Arabidopsis thaliana: one gene and its partners. The protein of the gene in region 1 interacts with the protein of each later gene in a pairwise test. Each region holds a gene or a part of one and is shown on either strand. Other genes may lie near its edges. The genes, in order: PHE1, AGL97, AGL28 and AGL62.

The links.
Region 2: the proteins of PHE1 (region 1) and AGL97 interact in a two-hybrid assay, tested with the Arabidopsis thaliana proteins (one large-scale study listed by BioGRID).
Region 3: the proteins of PHE1 (region 1) and AGL28 interact in a two-hybrid assay, tested with the Arabidopsis thaliana proteins (one large-scale study listed by BioGRID).
Region 4: the proteins of PHE1 (region 1) and AGL62 interact in a two-hybrid assay, tested with the Arabidopsis thaliana proteins (one large-scale study listed by BioGRID).

Annotation. Positions count from the first base shown.
Region 1 is NC_003070.9:24,265,273-24,269,263, forward strand, and holds PHE1 (MADS-box transcription factor family protein), read right to left. Parts: upstream 2,065-3,991; 5' UTR 2,049-2,064; coding exon 1,209-2,048; 3' UTR 985-1,208; downstream 1-984. Other genes in the region: CYP96A3 (cytochrome P450, family 96, subfamily A, polypeptide 3), read right to left, coding at 2,863-3,991. UniProt on the Arabidopsis thaliana protein: Probable transcription factor involved in the development of gametophytes and seeds.
Region 2 is NC_003070.9:17,231,199-17,235,000, forward strand, and holds AGL97 (AGAMOUS-like 97), read right to left. Parts: upstream 1,754-3,802; 5' UTR 1,738-1,753; coding exon 937-1,737; downstream 1-936. UniProt on the Arabidopsis thaliana protein: Putative transcription factor.
Region 3 is NC_003070.9:192,019-195,993, reverse strand, and holds AGL28 (AGAMOUS-like 28), read left to right. Parts: upstream 1-2,323; 5' UTR 2,324-2,331; coding exon 2,332-2,643; intron 2,644-2,922; coding exon 2,923-3,354; 3' UTR 3,355-3,360; downstream 3,361-3,975. Other genes in the region: AT1G01540 (Protein kinase superfamily protein), read right to left, coding at 1-14; ASG4 (Homeodomain-like superfamily protein), read right to left, coding at 3,935-3,975. UniProt on the Arabidopsis thaliana protein: Probable transcription factor that may function as a floral promoter operating upstream of known floral activators in the autonomous pathway.
Region 4 is NC_003076.8:24,303,139-24,308,393, reverse strand, and holds AGL62 (AGAMOUS-like 62), read right to left. Parts: upstream 3,014-5,255; 5' UTR 2,066-3,013; coding exon 1,742-2,065; intron 1,450-1,741; coding exon 874-1,449; 3' UTR 678-873; downstream 1-677.

The DNA of each region.
Region 1 (3,991 bases):
TCAGTGATGAAAAACAAAGTTTTTCGAAAACGATAGATATTATTTATCAAGAATCTTTTTCCGTTGGATAAAATAGATAATACAAGCACACAAATTTATCAAAATTTGCGATCACGCAAATTCTTGTTGGACTAGAATTTAGGTGTCATAAATAAACTTAACTATATTTGCGAGTCTTTTGATCCAAAAATCTTGTACAACGTGTCTCAATTCTGAAACAACAAAGCAGGGGAAGTGTGGAAACAATGTGAAAGAAGAGATTTTTAAGATTCCTTAATTTCTTTTATGGCCGTATCTTGCTAGGTTTTCTACTATTCTATGTTTTTTTCCACAAGCGTGCCAATATGTTGAAAGAAGCGTGTATTCCTAAAAAGGAATGAGGGCTTCATTTCCAACGTATTCATGTGTCACGGTTGTTTAGCTTAAGCTTAATTTGGAAACTACTAACTTCGTGGGGGTTTATTATGGGCGGTTCCGACAATATATTATCTGTTAGGATGGTAAGGATTCTACTCTAGGTTCCAAAACGTGGCAGAAGCTACTGAAGTTAAAACCAATTACGGCTGAGTATGTACATCAGGAGATCCACAATGGTCAGCACTATATATGTACTTTTGTCTTCGATTTTTTTATTCCCATGGGACGTCTTCTCGACTCATAGATGAGGTATGCATTAGAAAATTATGTGTGCCAAAGTATGCAAAGGTCTCACAAGTGGTCACCTAAACTACGTAGTTGAGAATTTGCTAGAAACATCTTGAAATAGCATGGTACACAAAATTGAAATCCTTTCTTTTTTGTGATCAACATTTGAATCCAACAAAAATATGGCAATAACATTCATAATCATTTTAGTTCAAATATAAGTAAGACGAAAACATGACATAGCCATAGCATATATATAGGCAAAACAAAGAAAGTTGACTTAATCAAAGCTATTTTAGATATTATAGGGTTTTTAATGACATCATATCTAAAGATTTGTTTCTTCTAAAGATACTGAAAACTCTTTATTTTGTAATGATTAAAATTATTCAAATTGAACTAAACCTTTTCAGGCAAATACATCAACGGAAATGAACTTAAAGGCAAAACCTTTAACTGTAGTACAATAATAAAAAAAAACATCACATAAATTTTATTTTCTGAAATGGAAAAATCAAAAGATGCAGATGATCAACCACTTCACTCGAAATACATCCCTTCGACTAGAGATCATTGATGATGTTAGGAGCACAAACATCAGTGGGGGCAGTGGTGACGGTAGCGAGACAATCGATTTCGGGGTGGTAGTTGTTGTTGTCCATGCAAGGAATGCCCTCGTCCTCTCCATCATTAAGATCCAAATTCATACTCTGATTTGGATCTATATTCATTTTCATGTTAAAATCATGAAGTTTCTTTGGAATCTGATCATAAAAATCATAAAGAGCCTGGTATTGGAATTGAACCGGCTCTTGCTGATTTTGGTTTTGATCTTGAATCATACGACCATCAAAACCGATTGGGACAGATGCATCCACAACAGTAGGAGCTACACCAATAGGAGGAGGTACAGATGAAGAAGACTCACCGTTCTCCTTAAGGATCTCAACCCTACGAATAACACCATTGAGATACTTGTTAAGAAATACATTCAAATCAAGAAGATCTCTTCCATGAAGATGAGACACGTCCACCTCTCCTTTGAGACAACCAAACATTAAATCTCGAATCTGAGAATTACGGTTCTCATCACGTAGCTTCTGGAGACGTTCTGTTTCTTTGGCGATCCTTTGACGTAAAAACGTCTCTTGATCCACCATCTTCTTGGTCCGGTCCAACACCGAAAACTCCATAAACTTCGACATCACTTCTTCAACGCCTTCCCTTGATGGCCAAGGCTCCTGGATCGAGTTGTACGGGCTACGGATGACCGCACATGCGTCAACACCACATAGAGTTACTAGCTCGTTGAATTTCTTCAGCATCCCTTTCTTCCTTTTGGTGAATGTTGTTTTCCTCACTGAATCATTTTCTATGAACGATAACTTCATCTTCCCCCTCATATCTCTTATCTTTTTCTTTTGTGTATTTTGCTTTGTCTTGTTAGCATGAGGAGGATGGTTTATATAGTCAATTTTCGAGTCAATAGATTTTTTATTGCTTTGCTGGATATGATTAATTGATTTTTTATTTTACTAATTTTTCAGGATTTGTATTAGTTTCACCCTTACGTGTAGGCATGTGATTGATGGTAAAGTGATAATCATTTATCTTTAGAGACAGCCCATATAGATATTTTACCTTTTGGGGGGCATATATAAAAACAAGATATATAGGAAAACAGTTGTATCACATATCTAATGAGATTTATACTTTATTTAGGAAGTCCATTGAAAGGAAAACAAATTACATCAAAGGTAATTTAAGATATTTCTTCAATCTCTAAATTTTTTCTATATGTTAATAGTTTATATAAACATAATTAATAAATAATTTAAAATACATGTAATATCAGTTGGATAGAAAGTAATGTTATGGCTAAACAGTGAAAGTAATGTTATTTTATTTTTTTTGTTTCGTTAAGACACATGCTATTATGTGTGTTATCGATTTTGGGTGTTATAACTGTGGGGAAGGGTCCAATAATACAAACCATAGCTGCCAAAAAAAATATTAGTAACTAAACATCAGATTCTAAAGACCACAAAATGTGAGCACATGCTATTGTAAAACCGTGATGTTATTATGAAATAGAGACTCTTATAAGGCAAATGACTGATACAAATTAAAGACGTGTTTGCAAAATAAGTCTAAGCATGAGTAAACATGCATGTTTTATTGAAATCTTTAACAGCAAAAAAAATACAAAAACTATCACTAGATCCTAGTGATATTAACTTTGAGACCATGTTGCATACGAAAAAGAACAGAAGGAACTGGTTCGGTTTTGTGCCCTTCAACGACCTTGATGTCATAGTTTCGTATGATTTCCGCAGCCACTGTCTTCATCTGTAAGAACGTTAACTTTTTCCCCAAGCAAGCTCTTGGACCGGCGTTAAACGCCAAGAACTTATATGAAGGTTCATGTTTTAACCTTCCACTGTCTGAAATCCATCTCTCTGGTCTGAAATCTTCTGCGTCATCTCCCCAAACAGATTTCATCCTCCCTAATGCATACATAGATATGACAATCTTCCATTTCTCATCTACTCTATGCCCACTTGGAAGTACGTCTGGCTTTGCCGGTGACTTGTGGTTAAATGGAACTGGTGGGTATAACCTTAGCGTCTCACACACGGCACCGTGTAGATACACGAGCTTTTCTAAATCTGCGGGATCAAACCTCGGCATCTTCTTGTTAACCTCTTGTCGGATCTTGTTTATTGCCTCAGGGTTCTTGGACATAAGCCAGAAGAACCAAGTGAGTGCTGAACTTGTTGTATCTCTTGCCGCTATCAAGAAACCCAAAATAGTGTCTTTGATGAATCTATCATCACTTGGTTCCAAGTACTTATATTTGGTCGTGTCCATAGTCATGTAGTATGTCAACACGTCTATGGCCTCTCCTCTTGAGGGATGATGAGTCCCATGACTATTGATCTCCTCTCGTTTAGCCGTTATGATCTTCTCGAGTAGTTGATCGAATACCGCTAGACCTCTTTTCAATCTTTTCTCTACTCCTACACCAATCAAATATTGGAGCCTCCACAAGAAAACCGGCTTAACATGTCTATAGAAAACCCCGTCAGAAACACCATCGACCGCGTCACCGAACTCAACCTTAGGCATTTCAACGGATAAACATTTTGGATCATACCCGGTCATCAAAATCAAAGATGTATCAAACAAGAATCTCTGGAACAAATCTTGCAAGTCGACAAGGATATTTTTATCAGCTGCGTTTTCAAGAATAGGAACAAGCCCTTGCCTTAATTTTCTTACACTTGTACTCACCCAGAACATTTGGAAATCTTGATTACTAAAAATGGCATGAGACGAGTTCCTC
Region 2 (3,802 bases), 7.0 Mb from region 1:
CAAGAAAAATGAAAATTAGCAAGTAAAATAAATTAATAATGGTAGAGCATGAACAACTAACTCAAGTATGTATACTTACAATGTCATGCTCGGAAGCACCGCTAGGATTCTTGTTTTCAATCTGGTTACACATCCTCTTAGCTTGGAGACAGCAGAAAGAATCGTTGTCATTCGAGTTTGTAAAGATCTTTTTGGTCTTGGTTGACTATGAAAGATCTCAGATTTTGCAATTGTGGCTGGACCAACACGTTTATGGAGTAAGAAAGTGTTACATGATATTATAACTACTTGTATCATAATGCATAATATGACATAGAGGATGAACGTGATTTTGATGCAAGTATTGAAGAAAGAGCCGAGGTCCCAACTCTAGAAGATGAAACGGCGGGAGACGATCGATGATGGTCGATTTCAAGAATTTTTAGCTCGACACAGGAAAATCAAAGACCGTGAAGCTCATATTAAACTTCGAAATGCATTAATTGAACACTTGTGGTCCGTATATACTAATTCTGAGAATTAGTACAATGTAATTTTTTTTTGTTATTTTCAATTTATCGATTGTAATCTTATATTAATTAAGTTAAAATAATTTAGTTATGAAATATGTTATGTATATCAAACTATTAAAAAAATAAAGAAAATCTTAAGTTTAATAATATTATAATAAAAAGTAATATTTTTAGTGTGAAATTGGTGTTATGGTTGGAGATGATAAAACAATTGAAACACCAAAATATCAAATTTGGTGTTAAAATTTGGTGTATTGTGGTTGGGGATGCTCTTATGTTTTGGTTAGATATACGAAAATATCACGCAGATCAAATAAAGTCATAAGCTGATAAAAGACATACAAAGATATACTAAACCGAAGCAATACTTAAATCAAGGATCCAATTTCAACATAAACACAAATTGTCACCATAGAGGCATGCATCAGACATCATCCATCTTTAAATTCATGGATAAAGCTTCAGAGCTTGTCAAATACTCAATGATTTGATCGAGATCATCAAAATCTTCATTGCACTCATCCAAGTTTCCAAGTAAACCGTTGTTGTTGCTATTGTCAGAAACCGCTAGGGTTTGCTCTTCCGTGTTCCCTTCAGAATTCACAGTTACATCATCCATCTCCAAATTCACCGATAAAAATTCAGAGTTTGTCACCGTATCGAAGATTTGATCGAGATCATCAAAATCTTCATTGCACTCATCCAAGTTTCCAAGTAAACCGTTGTTGTTACTATTGTCAGAAACCGCTAGGGTTTGCTCTTCCGTGTTAAACCCATCGAAATTCACAGTTACATAATCTTGAATGCAAACCCTTGCAGAACACGGCTGATGAATTAGGGTTTGCGTTTGATGATCTCTTTGCTTCTCCAACTCCTTGAGATCTCGCAACATAGTCGACATTGAATCCATCGCCTCTCTCAACTCCTCCAGATTCTCTGATTTTAGAAGACTCTCATCTTCCCACCAAAACCTTTCATCACAAGGACGCTGATTGGCGAGAAAAGCAGCGACGACATTATCAACAGAGGAGTGGCCAAAACTGTAGAAAGCGGCGTTGGAATTAGAAGAAACAGGAGTCGCTATGATCGCAATCTCTGCGTCCGAGAGAAGACAAAGTTCAGAAGCTTTGCTATACAGACCCTTACGACGTTTGGAGAATGAAACCGCTCGTGGATTTTTGTTCTGTATCTTCTCTATAGCAATCTTCCTCTTCACGCCACCCATTCTGTTTTTTTTCTCAGTTTCACAAACAAAAGAGAACGAGACAAGACTTGAGAGTTTTGTGTGCTGCCGCTTGTTGCGAAAGAAGAATATGATAATGGACTCACTCTCGTTCTAATCAGATAGATATATATATAGACTTAGTAGCCCTAACTCGTTTTCTAATTAATCCATGTTATTTCCTTTTTCTGATAATTGCTAATCAGTAATTAAACGACTAAATAAACTTGTTTTCCTTTTTTGAAAGTAATTAGTACACAAAACCACCTGAAACAACATCGATTTTGATTTCCTTTTTTACTGATAATACCCTAATCGGTAATTAAACGAAAAATTAAAACTGTTTCCTTTTCTAAAAGTAAATTACTCAAAACCATCTAATACAAACAAAGACCGGTTTAGTTAAACCGAATCTGTATTTAGTGGAATTTTTGGTTTAGTCGGTGAATTTGTTTACTACTGATTGTCTAATAAGCGAAGGAGGACGAGTAAACCAACATGCAAATTCTTCCTTTAACCGGTTTGGTCAACGGTCAATAAAATAAGACCGTTATGAAGGGTAAAAGCGTCAATACAACAAAATATTTAGGAGCCTCTCTTCTTCTCTTTGTGACCGTTACGAATCCAAAAACCAAAATTGCAAACTTTGTGAGGAAGAAGAAGACGACACAGTATTGAAGAATACAATCTCAAACCCTAGTATGGAATCTCTGTTTTATGCTGGTGAATCAATGTCCGATACACAACAAAAACTCAAGCTTTTGGTTGATAATGGTGAATTGGTGATTACGGATTCGGAAGAGGATCTAGATATGGAGATTACGAGAATCTGTTGGAATTGAGTATCCTAAACTAAATCCTACAAGAATAACAAGCTTGGTGAGAAGAAGAAGATGAAGAACAAAGGAAGAAGCAACGGAAGAAGAAGACGATGGCGGAGAAGAGACGTCGTGAAGAGAGGAGTCAAAGGAAGAGAAGAAAGTCAACAAACCAAATGGGTTTGTGTTTTGTGTGTTGGGTCATAGGTAATGAGATAAGGCCCATACGAATAAGTGTTTTGTACAAGTTGTCTAGTTAAGGTCCAACAAGAAGAGGTTGTGACAACTAAAGTAAACTAAGAGAGTGAATTAAGGTGTTGGAGTTCCAACATAGTAGAGTGGATGATGTAAGTCTTAGGACAATGATGTGGTCTAGAGTCTAAGTGTGTGTAGTCTACCAAGTGGAGCAAAACCACTATATGTATGTGTTGTTTGTGTTGTGTAAGAGTATCCAAGAATATTATCAAAGTAGAAGATTAAAAGAAAATAGTTTTTGTTCTTTCTCTCTAAAGACAATGAAACCGTAAAGGAGTGTGAGAAATAGAGAGATTGTGAGAATTACAACAGAATCAAAGATTCGTATGGAAGATTCTGAAAGAAGAACAAGTGAGATTTGGAAGAAGAAATCAGGGTTTTGCTGGAGAAGAATCTTGTATCAATTAGAAACATATAAGTACTGATTCTTCTGTGATCAAAACATGGCTACAGGTTTGTTGAAGACTTCTTCTGTGACATCCTCAGCATTGAAGACTTGTTTAAGAAACTTGATTTTTGAGAAGTTAAAAGGTAGAGACTTCTTGAAGAAACAAGCTCACAGCCATAAATATTCTGGCAAAATCCACATTGTTCATCTTTGTTATTAAGCATTATGTTTTCTTCTCTGTGGCCTTTGTGGATCCTTCTAAGAGACTACATTATTGAGATTTCCAGAGCTACTTTTGTTTTGTAGGTTTAATATTCTGATGTATACATATATGACATTGTGTTGTAATTCTCACATATCTAACCACTTTAGTTAGATCTCTTGCTCTCTTGTCTCTCACACAGATTTTATTCTTTGTTCTAGAGAGACACAAAAGCGTTTTCCTCCAAAGACTACATTGTTAATTACTTGGTTACTCTTACACAACACAAGGACACACATACATAAACTACTTCTACTTGAGACACACACACACTTGCACACTTGCACTTAGACCTAATGATGGCTCTTACACAAGACCTACTTCTACATACATTGGAACTCTCAC
Region 3 (3,975 bases), about 24 Mb from region 1:
TCGTACACCGACATCGTACTTTAACTTTTAGCTTAGATTCCGTTACAGATTCTTCCGGTTTCTTCGCATTCTTCGCCGGAAACACACAAAACTTTCCGGCCAAAATCTGGGCTTTGTCACAGCATCGAGTGTTGAATCGAGGAAGAACAAAACAAATAAAAAGATTAAATTGATAAAATAAAAAAAACGATAACGAATTTAAAGAGAAAGGCTTTGGAGTGATCTGTGTTGATGTAATTGAATGAGCTGTCTTTTTGAGTTCCTGTCTGAGTGTAATTGCATGTGTGGTGACGGTGAGAGAAGGTTACCCGAAATGTCTATTTTACCCTTTTATGGAAAGTGGAAGATAGTAGAGTCTTTTATATAGTTTTGAGGAGTTTTTTGGTAATAAATCGATGTCGATAGCCGTTGGGGTGGTATGATAAGGTACGGTTCAGTGCAATTAACCAATCTGTGGATTACACATTGGTTAGTTTTTCGTTCTTGTTTTGACTATAATTGAACCTTGACGTTTGATTATTTAATTGCAAATTTTATATGGATATAAACATACTCATGGAATAATTATTGAGTTTACTTTATGAGAAACTAATCACTTTTGTTATGGGAACATGAGTGCACCAAAAAATCATTTGTTTGCTTCTGATACACATTATTATTGGTTTGTTCATAAAAAATATTTGTTATATATATAGGAAGAACATTTTTTTTTGTTTATGTCACATTAACACACAAATCGGATTTCTCATATCATATATGCAGTAAGTAGATAAAAAGACTGAAACTGCAAGTCAAGGTGATGAAGAGCCTGATTATCCTGAAAGTCAATGTTATGAGTAATGTTGTATTGTTACAGTTTTAATGGTGGATAAAAAAATTGTATCTTTGACACGATGGATTGTGTAGATCATTCGTTGAAACTTCGGAGGTCAAATGTATTACTATTTCATAATATTTGTGTCTTCAAAAAGTTTGGTTGGCTCTTAAAAGTAGAGCAATTAATGAGAGAATAATATTTAGTGTGGCCACGTATAATCTAGGTTTCCTCCTAAAAAGGGTTTAGGTGGGGCTAAAAGAGAAAACCCATTATTGCTCCAAACAAGTAAATTTTGTAGTATGCCAATAAGTCAATGATCAGCGGCGATGGTTGGTTTAGACTTTAGACTTTAGAGTCGTTTGGAAGTGCAAGCTTATGATATGTGGTATTTGGGCTTTTTTAAAAGTAGATTCTGAGCTAATAAATGTTGTCTTTTGCATTTGGATATTTCATTACCTGGGCTAGAATTTGTTTTTGTACAAACTCTAGCTTATAGAATCTTACTTAGTTTTCCCTAATCAGTTTTAGTTTGGTTCCTTGTTGGGCTTAAGACTTGTAATCTATATGCTAGAATCTTTTACATACTTGACTATTGAATACCATTACCGACCAAAAAAAGGAACCCAATCAGATTTGATTCCCACCGATAAATTGTAACAAGAAGGAAAAAGATATAACAAGAAACATGAGAAGTGTATACATTTTTAAAAATTCGTTTTTCAGGAGAGGTATATAGGTTATAGATTATCAATATATCATCATCATGTATAACAAGCAATTAGAGGCAGAGAAACATAGCCCATTAGGTAACGATCATGGGCTATATTAATCACGGCCCAAAACAAATTGTGTAAAAGTATACTATATTCAGAGATGATATAACAAATTGTGTATCACATATTAAATCTAATTTAATTATCACAACTTTTTTTTTGAAAAGTCAGCGATCAATTAAAATATCAAAACAACTATTTACTTAAATAAAATCTTGGAAAGTCGGACATAAAATTTCAATCATGTCATTTATCAACTTTCAATCATATTATTTTGTCAATTTGCTCTATAAAAACAAAAGTAAGTTGGACATAATATTTCATATATACACTATATGAATTTTATATAAAAAATTTGAACACTTAAAATAAATATAAAAGATCAAAAAGGATATTGATTATAGAAAAATAGTGGAAAATAAACACATGGAAAATATTTTTTAAGAAAATTGTGGATATCCTTCCCATATTTTAAAAAATTGACAGGCTGTAAACTTTAAAAAATGATAATGTTGGAGATAAAATAGAATATTGTATACCTTTTATTGACGAAATTTGTAAACCAATATATACTCCTAGAGTGGTAATTCATAATTTTGTTTCTTATAAATCACTATAGAAAAAAATATTTTCTTTCAATGCTCAAAACATATTTTGTAAAATTTAGTCTATAAATACAAATACCTATTATCTCTAATATAATCAACTCGCTTTTCTTTTTCTGTTCAAAACATCTCGAAAATGGCGAGAAAGAATCTTGGTCGTAGAAAAATAGAGTTGGTAAAAATGACCAACGAATCAAACCTTCAAGTTACGTTTTCAAAAAGAAGATCTGGTCTTTTCAAAAAAGGCAGTGAACTTTGCACCTTATGTGACGCGGAAATTGCGATAATCGTGTTTTCACCCTCGGGAAAAGCATACTCTTTTGGTCATCCAAATGTTAACAAGTTACTTGACCACTCTTTAGGGCGTGTTATAAGACACAACAACACAAACTTTGCTGAAAGCCGCACAAAGCTCCGTATTCAAATGCTCAATGAGTCTTTAACTGAGGTAAGTTTTAAGTTTTGGCATTATCTAATCTTTATTTCTTCTCTCTTTTATTTTTCAATTTAGATAAAAAATTATTATATAAGTGTTTCACAATTTGTTTTTGATTTGTAAAAGAAATGGTAAACCTCCTTTGCATATTTATTTCCTCAACAAAGTAAATTAAGAATGAAAATTTTGGTGGGTTCAATTTTTGTTTAAGTCATAGTCATGGATTCACGGATTTTCTTTACACATTCATTATTCATGAAATTAATTGTTTAAAATACAATTTTATCTTAGGTGATGGCTGAAAAAGAAAAAGAACAAGAGACCAAGCAGTCAATAGTCCAAAATGAAAGAGAGAACAAGGACGCTGAGAAGTGGTGGAGGAACTCTCCAACAGAACTCAACTTAGCTCAATCAACTTCCATGAAATGTGATCTTGAAGCTTTGAAGAAGGAAGTTGATGAAAAAGTCGCTCAACTTCATCATAGAAACCTAAACTTCTATGTTGGAAGTTCTAGCAATGTTGCTGCTCCAGCAGCTGTTAGTGGTGGTAATATCTCCACAAACCATGGTTTCTTTGATCAAAACGGAAACTCTACTTCTGCTCCAACACTGCCGTTTGGATTTAATGTTATGAATCGCACACCAGCTGGGTACAACAGTTACCAACTCCAAAACCAGGAGGTTAAACAAGTCCATCCTCAGTATTGGGCTCGTTACTATTAGTCTATCTCTCTCGTTGTGTGACTTTTTAAGTCTCCAATAGTTTGTTCTGCTTTTTGTTTTGTTTTTGTTTGTTGTTGTTGTTGTTGTCGGGCTTTTAATTAAGTCTCGAGTCAACTAGTTTCTTGTTTCTTTTCGTTATACTTTGTCTTGTAGCTTTATATCATTTTCTTGTGGAATATGAGTAAGCTATATGAAGTTTCATATTATGTCATTAGTCCATTCCGTATAAAAACCTAAGCAACAACTGAATATTACAAAAAAGCTAGTGACTTTCTACACAGGCTTTATCTGAAGTAATTTTCAAAACTAGTTATGTCATTAGTCCATTCCGTATAAAAACCTAAGCAACAACTGAATATTACAAAAAAGCTAGTGACTTTCTACACAGGCTTTATCTGTCTTCTAAGACGTTCTAAACTATTGAGACTTATATGTACAACCGGTTCATTCATTCATATCCCATGAGACTACCATTAGAGACTTCTCTCTATCGTTTAGTTCTAACTGGCGTTGTAAGATGATATCAACTTCCGCTGTAATAAACAGAGAAAATTTGTTTACTCTTCAATATTCTCAAGAGTCAAAATGTAACAAAGAGTCGACTAGCTCTTACTTGTTCAT
Region 4 (5,255 bases), on another chromosome or scaffold:
ATGGGATGTGTAAAGCATGCCATTGGATTTTAAGGTTTTCAAAATTACAATATATATATTAGTTTTGAAGTATTTTGCTTGATTTTGAAAATTTCATTTCTTAAGTTCTTACATATGTGGATACTCTTGTATTGTTCTTACAATTTTTTTATTTATTTTTAGATTGATATCTAATACATACTAGATATTTGATGATGATTTAATCTTTTTTAAGGAAAATAAATATTAGAGTATACTGCACGGATTAATTAAATAGAATGATGTGACATAGATTTAGCCTTTTTTTCAACTAAAAGTTAACCTTAATTTTATTATATTTTCCTTAAATTTAACATTAATTTTATTATATTTTCTATATTAGAATTAGATTTTTATCATTTTAGGAATATTTCACAATATCTGTATTTCATCATTATAAGGAATGAAATTAGAGGGAAAGCCATTGTAATGCTGTCATTTCATTTTTTACAATGTACCAAAATATGTGGGATAATGTATGTACTATTTTAGTTGAAAAATGGTGCACACAGAAATTTTCATTATGCTTTTTTGCAAATTTATTTTAAAATAGTACATGATTGATTATGATTATTACCTTTCTGTGTTTAAAATTCTGCAATTGCCCAAAATGCGTAAACGTAACCATGGCAGACTAGTATTTTCAGAGGCGTAATGCATTTGTTTCCGACACATATAATTTATATATAGCAATAACATAATTTTGAAATGAAACAACACAATACAACATAATACTTAAACAAGAACAAGAAAAACAACAACAACACATGTAGAAACATAAATAAGAAGAAATAAAGATAACCTAAACACACAACTTTTTGTCTAGAGACTTAAGTTGGATCACACAACAAAGGGTTAATAGTAATCAGATCTAGACTGGGGAGGATAACCATGATGATGTTCATATTCAGAGATGTTTTCTCTCTTAAAACTCTGGTTTTGGATTTGGATTTGAACTTGATTTTGGTTTTGGATTTGGTTTTGGTTTGGGTTATACTCTGGTCTGAAGTTCACATTGTATTCTGGAACAAACCCTTCATTAATACCATAAGCATTGTTTCCAAAGGGTGGTAATGCATGATTAGGGTGAATTTGGTTCTGGTTGTAGTTGAAGGCATTTATGTCCATCATTCTTCTTTGGCTAAAGAGATCCATATCAGGGTTGATATGACTACCATCATCAATCCCAAAAGCAGCATTATTACTAGAACTTCCCACATAGAAGTTTGGAACATTTGCCTGAAAAAATCTGGAAGCTTCGACTGTAACTACTTTCTTCAAATTTTCAAGATTACCTTTGAACCCCTCGAGTTGAGATAACGCAAGTTCCTCAACGGGATCTTCCCACCAATTCCCAAGGGCTTTTGTCTTTTCTCTTATTTTCTTTAACTCGTCGTACTTCTTTTTCTCTGTTTCTAATTGACTCAACACCTGCAAATATATATACAAATAAAAACACCAATAATATTATTAATTTTCATACCATATGATTCTATAACATTTCATCGGCATTTTTATCTAACATACTATTAGGATATAAATCTATTCTAGTTATGGAGAAAAAGACTGTCTAATGTTTTTTATATATTATTTATTCACCTGCGAAAACTTTTACTTATATATATTAAATAAAAAAAGAATTTAACCATAGAAATTTGGGTTTTATGATTCATAGAAAACACTATTTTGTTTTAATCATACTTAAAAATAAGAGTAAGATTACCTGAGTAAGATGATTATTCAGATCCTGAACAATCGAATTTCGACGAGTTTCTCTAAGTTGCATGTTGTTGTGTTGGTGAGGAGGTAGAGGGTTATTGTTTATGAATCGATCAATTACAGAATCAACATTTGGATGACCAAAAGAAAAGACTTTTCGACCAGGTGAGAACACAACTATGGCCACTTCTGCACCACAAAGTGTGCAAAGCTCACTAGCCTTTTTGAAAAGTCCAGATCTTCTTTTTGAAAAAGTAACTTGAAGGTTACTTTCATTTTTCATTTTGACCATCTCTATTTTTTGACGACCTTTGCTTTTTTTCACCATTTTTAGTGATATTTGAGAAGCTAAAATATAGGATTGGTGTTTGTAGAATGAAAATGCTCATGTATTTATAGCAGAATATTACAAACCAAATAATTAATATTTGAGTTGTCTATGAGTAAATTTCAACTTTGATTTATTATATTTTTATTTGAATTTGAATTTTACTATTTTTGTAACATTTCATAATCTTAATATTCAATCAATATATGGTATGCAATACAAATTTATTTGACTATTATCTTCTCATTTCATTTGTACAATGTATCCAAATCTGCCAGAAAGATCCACCTTTAATTAGTAGTGATCTTTTCATATCTAATAGTAATATTATTGGAATATTTTTTTTAAATATAGCAACAAAAATGGCGGCGTAAAAAAAATTACTAACAAGTAACAAGCGTAATATGGTCAATATGTTTTTGATTTACTGATACATCATTTTCGTTAATTGTTTAATATTCTAAACTTAATCTCATATTTTAATATATTAAAAAATCGTTATATTGTTATCTGAAATTATTTGTCGCTATTTTCTAAAGTAAAACATGTATTCTCTCGTTTTTTTTTGTTAAAGGGTCTTCTTATGTATTCTCTCGTTATTGGTGATTGATCTATTATCGATAATGAAAACTATTTATGATAAAATGATTGTATGATTTTTTTAGCAATTGTTGTAACAAATATACTCCGTTACATTATTTATGCAATCATATTCTTTGCTACTTTTTAGATAGAACATATTTTTCTTACGTTATTAGCGATTGATTTGTTATCACTAATGAAAAATATTTATGATAAAATTGTTATGTGATTCTAGCAACTCGGCCACAATTGTGATAGGTTTGAGATATATATATGATTAAGCCCGGCATGACTATGAACTATTTCTTTGTGTTCCATACACATATATCCTTCTCTCTTTATATATATATACACACTAACCTTTATATGATGTAATTATCATCTAAAAATAGTTTATTTATATATTTATTTTAAGAGAGTATATTATAAAAGATTAGATTCAAGGAAAAACATTCGATATATTGTTTATCGGATGAAATGAGTTTATGAATTTTGCACTAAATAATGTTCCTTTATGAATATAGAAAACTTAGTTATTTATGTGATAAATACAGAAAAAATGAAAATCGTCAAAAACGGATACCATGAGATAACACTATAATTTTGAGAGCTTTAAGATAGAATTATTTTGTTTGGACCGTTATATAGAATATGAAGACCATTCCAAATTCATTATTATTTCTGATAAATTGACAATAGATATATGCCGTTACATTACTTACTAACTCTGTTTTTAAAATAATAATGGAATACATTCCTCTATTGTTATTGGCGATAAATTTGTTACTGATAATAACATATATTTATGATAAAATGGTGATATCTTATTTCCAATAATATTTATAGCTCCCCTATCTCATTTGATGGATTGATAAAAATTATTTGAATGACTTTATTATTTTTTGATAATTTGAAGCCAGATTCTCTTAAATTACACAAAATATCAATTATATAGTAATTAATATGAAATATTCAACTTATCTATGTAGAATGTAAATGTCATCCAAAAATAGTGAAATGGTAGTTGTTTCAGATAATATCTCCAATTAAAATTATTTTACCGATGATAATATAATACGGGCATGTTTATTAAAGTATGCATAAAATAGTGATCTTTAAAAGAATCTTATCATAATACTGAACTAGATAGAATTGATTAATCTTAAAAACTTTCAGTATTGATTACAGTATTAAAGTTTTATCTGAGGTACAATGATTTTTGTTAACTTATTATTTTTGATAGTTAATTGGTATATTTTCTGAAATTGATTTTAGAGTTATAAATATTATGGTAAATATAGTTATACTGATATCATAAAATAATAAATATATATGAGATCTTTAGAAATATGTGATTGAACTAAATATCTTAAAATTCTTATTTATGAAACTTTTAAATAGTTAATATACCAAATAATTTAAAAAAGGAAACAATAATTTTCTACAAATATAATCCATAAAATTTAGACGAGACAAACTACTTTTGCAGTAATTATTAATTTGTATATTTGTTATATAAGATAAATTCTTCAAAATACCACATTTTTTAAGTTTTGTTGCCAAAAATGTCACTATTAGTTTAATATTTCAAAGATACTACCAAAAAAAATTTGTTTTTCAAAAATACCACAAAACAACAAATTGATGTCCAAGAGTTCAAAATTTAAAATTTTAGGTTTGGGTTACCTATTTTAGATTTAGGGTGTAGTTTTTAAGGGTAGGATTTTAGTGTTTAAGGTTAGGATTTGAAAGTTGAAAATTTAATTTAGTTTTGTGATATTTTTGGAAAACCAAAAACTTAAGTAGTATTTTTGAAAGATCAAACTTAAGTGTGATATTTTTGAGAACTGTTTGCTATATAAACATATTTGCGTACTTTAAGAAATATTATTTATAGAAAACTGCCAAAGGATTAGAAAAATTCACTAATATATACACATAATTGAAAGACCTTTTATACTCTTTGGTAACATATTTATTAGTATGTAAAATAAAAATACAAATGGTTTTAGTTTAATCAAATAAAATGTAAAAAAATAATATAAAATATTGAAGTCTTTAGACCATGACTAATAACCTAGCGGTATTTGCTAGAATCATCGTTGTGTCATTGCCGAGATGCAATTCCAATTAAAATAATTAATAAATCATATAGAAGAAAATCATACAATATTTTATATTATTACTCCCTAAAATAATGAATTCCTGAGTTTTTCACCAAGATTTAGAAAATTATAAATTATATATTTTGATTAATTATTTTTGTGCTATATCTTTTAAAAAGTTAATCTCAAGTTGCTTTTTGCTCCACTTATCTTGAAAATAATAAATGATGTACTTTGATTTATTGTAAATTTAAAAGCATAAATTAATTGATTGATCTTGAAAATAAAAATGCGTTAAATATACCACGGAAAATCAATATTTTGATACAAAAACAAAACCTCACGAAATCATTCTTTGGAATGAATAAACCAATCATATGATATGATACATGACATTCGAACATAAGGAACTGCTATAGGAACAAAAGTTTCCCACATTAACCTCAAAGGCTAGTCTCTCTAAAATCATGGGACTAAGAGCAAGTCCAGTGATTAGTTTCTAA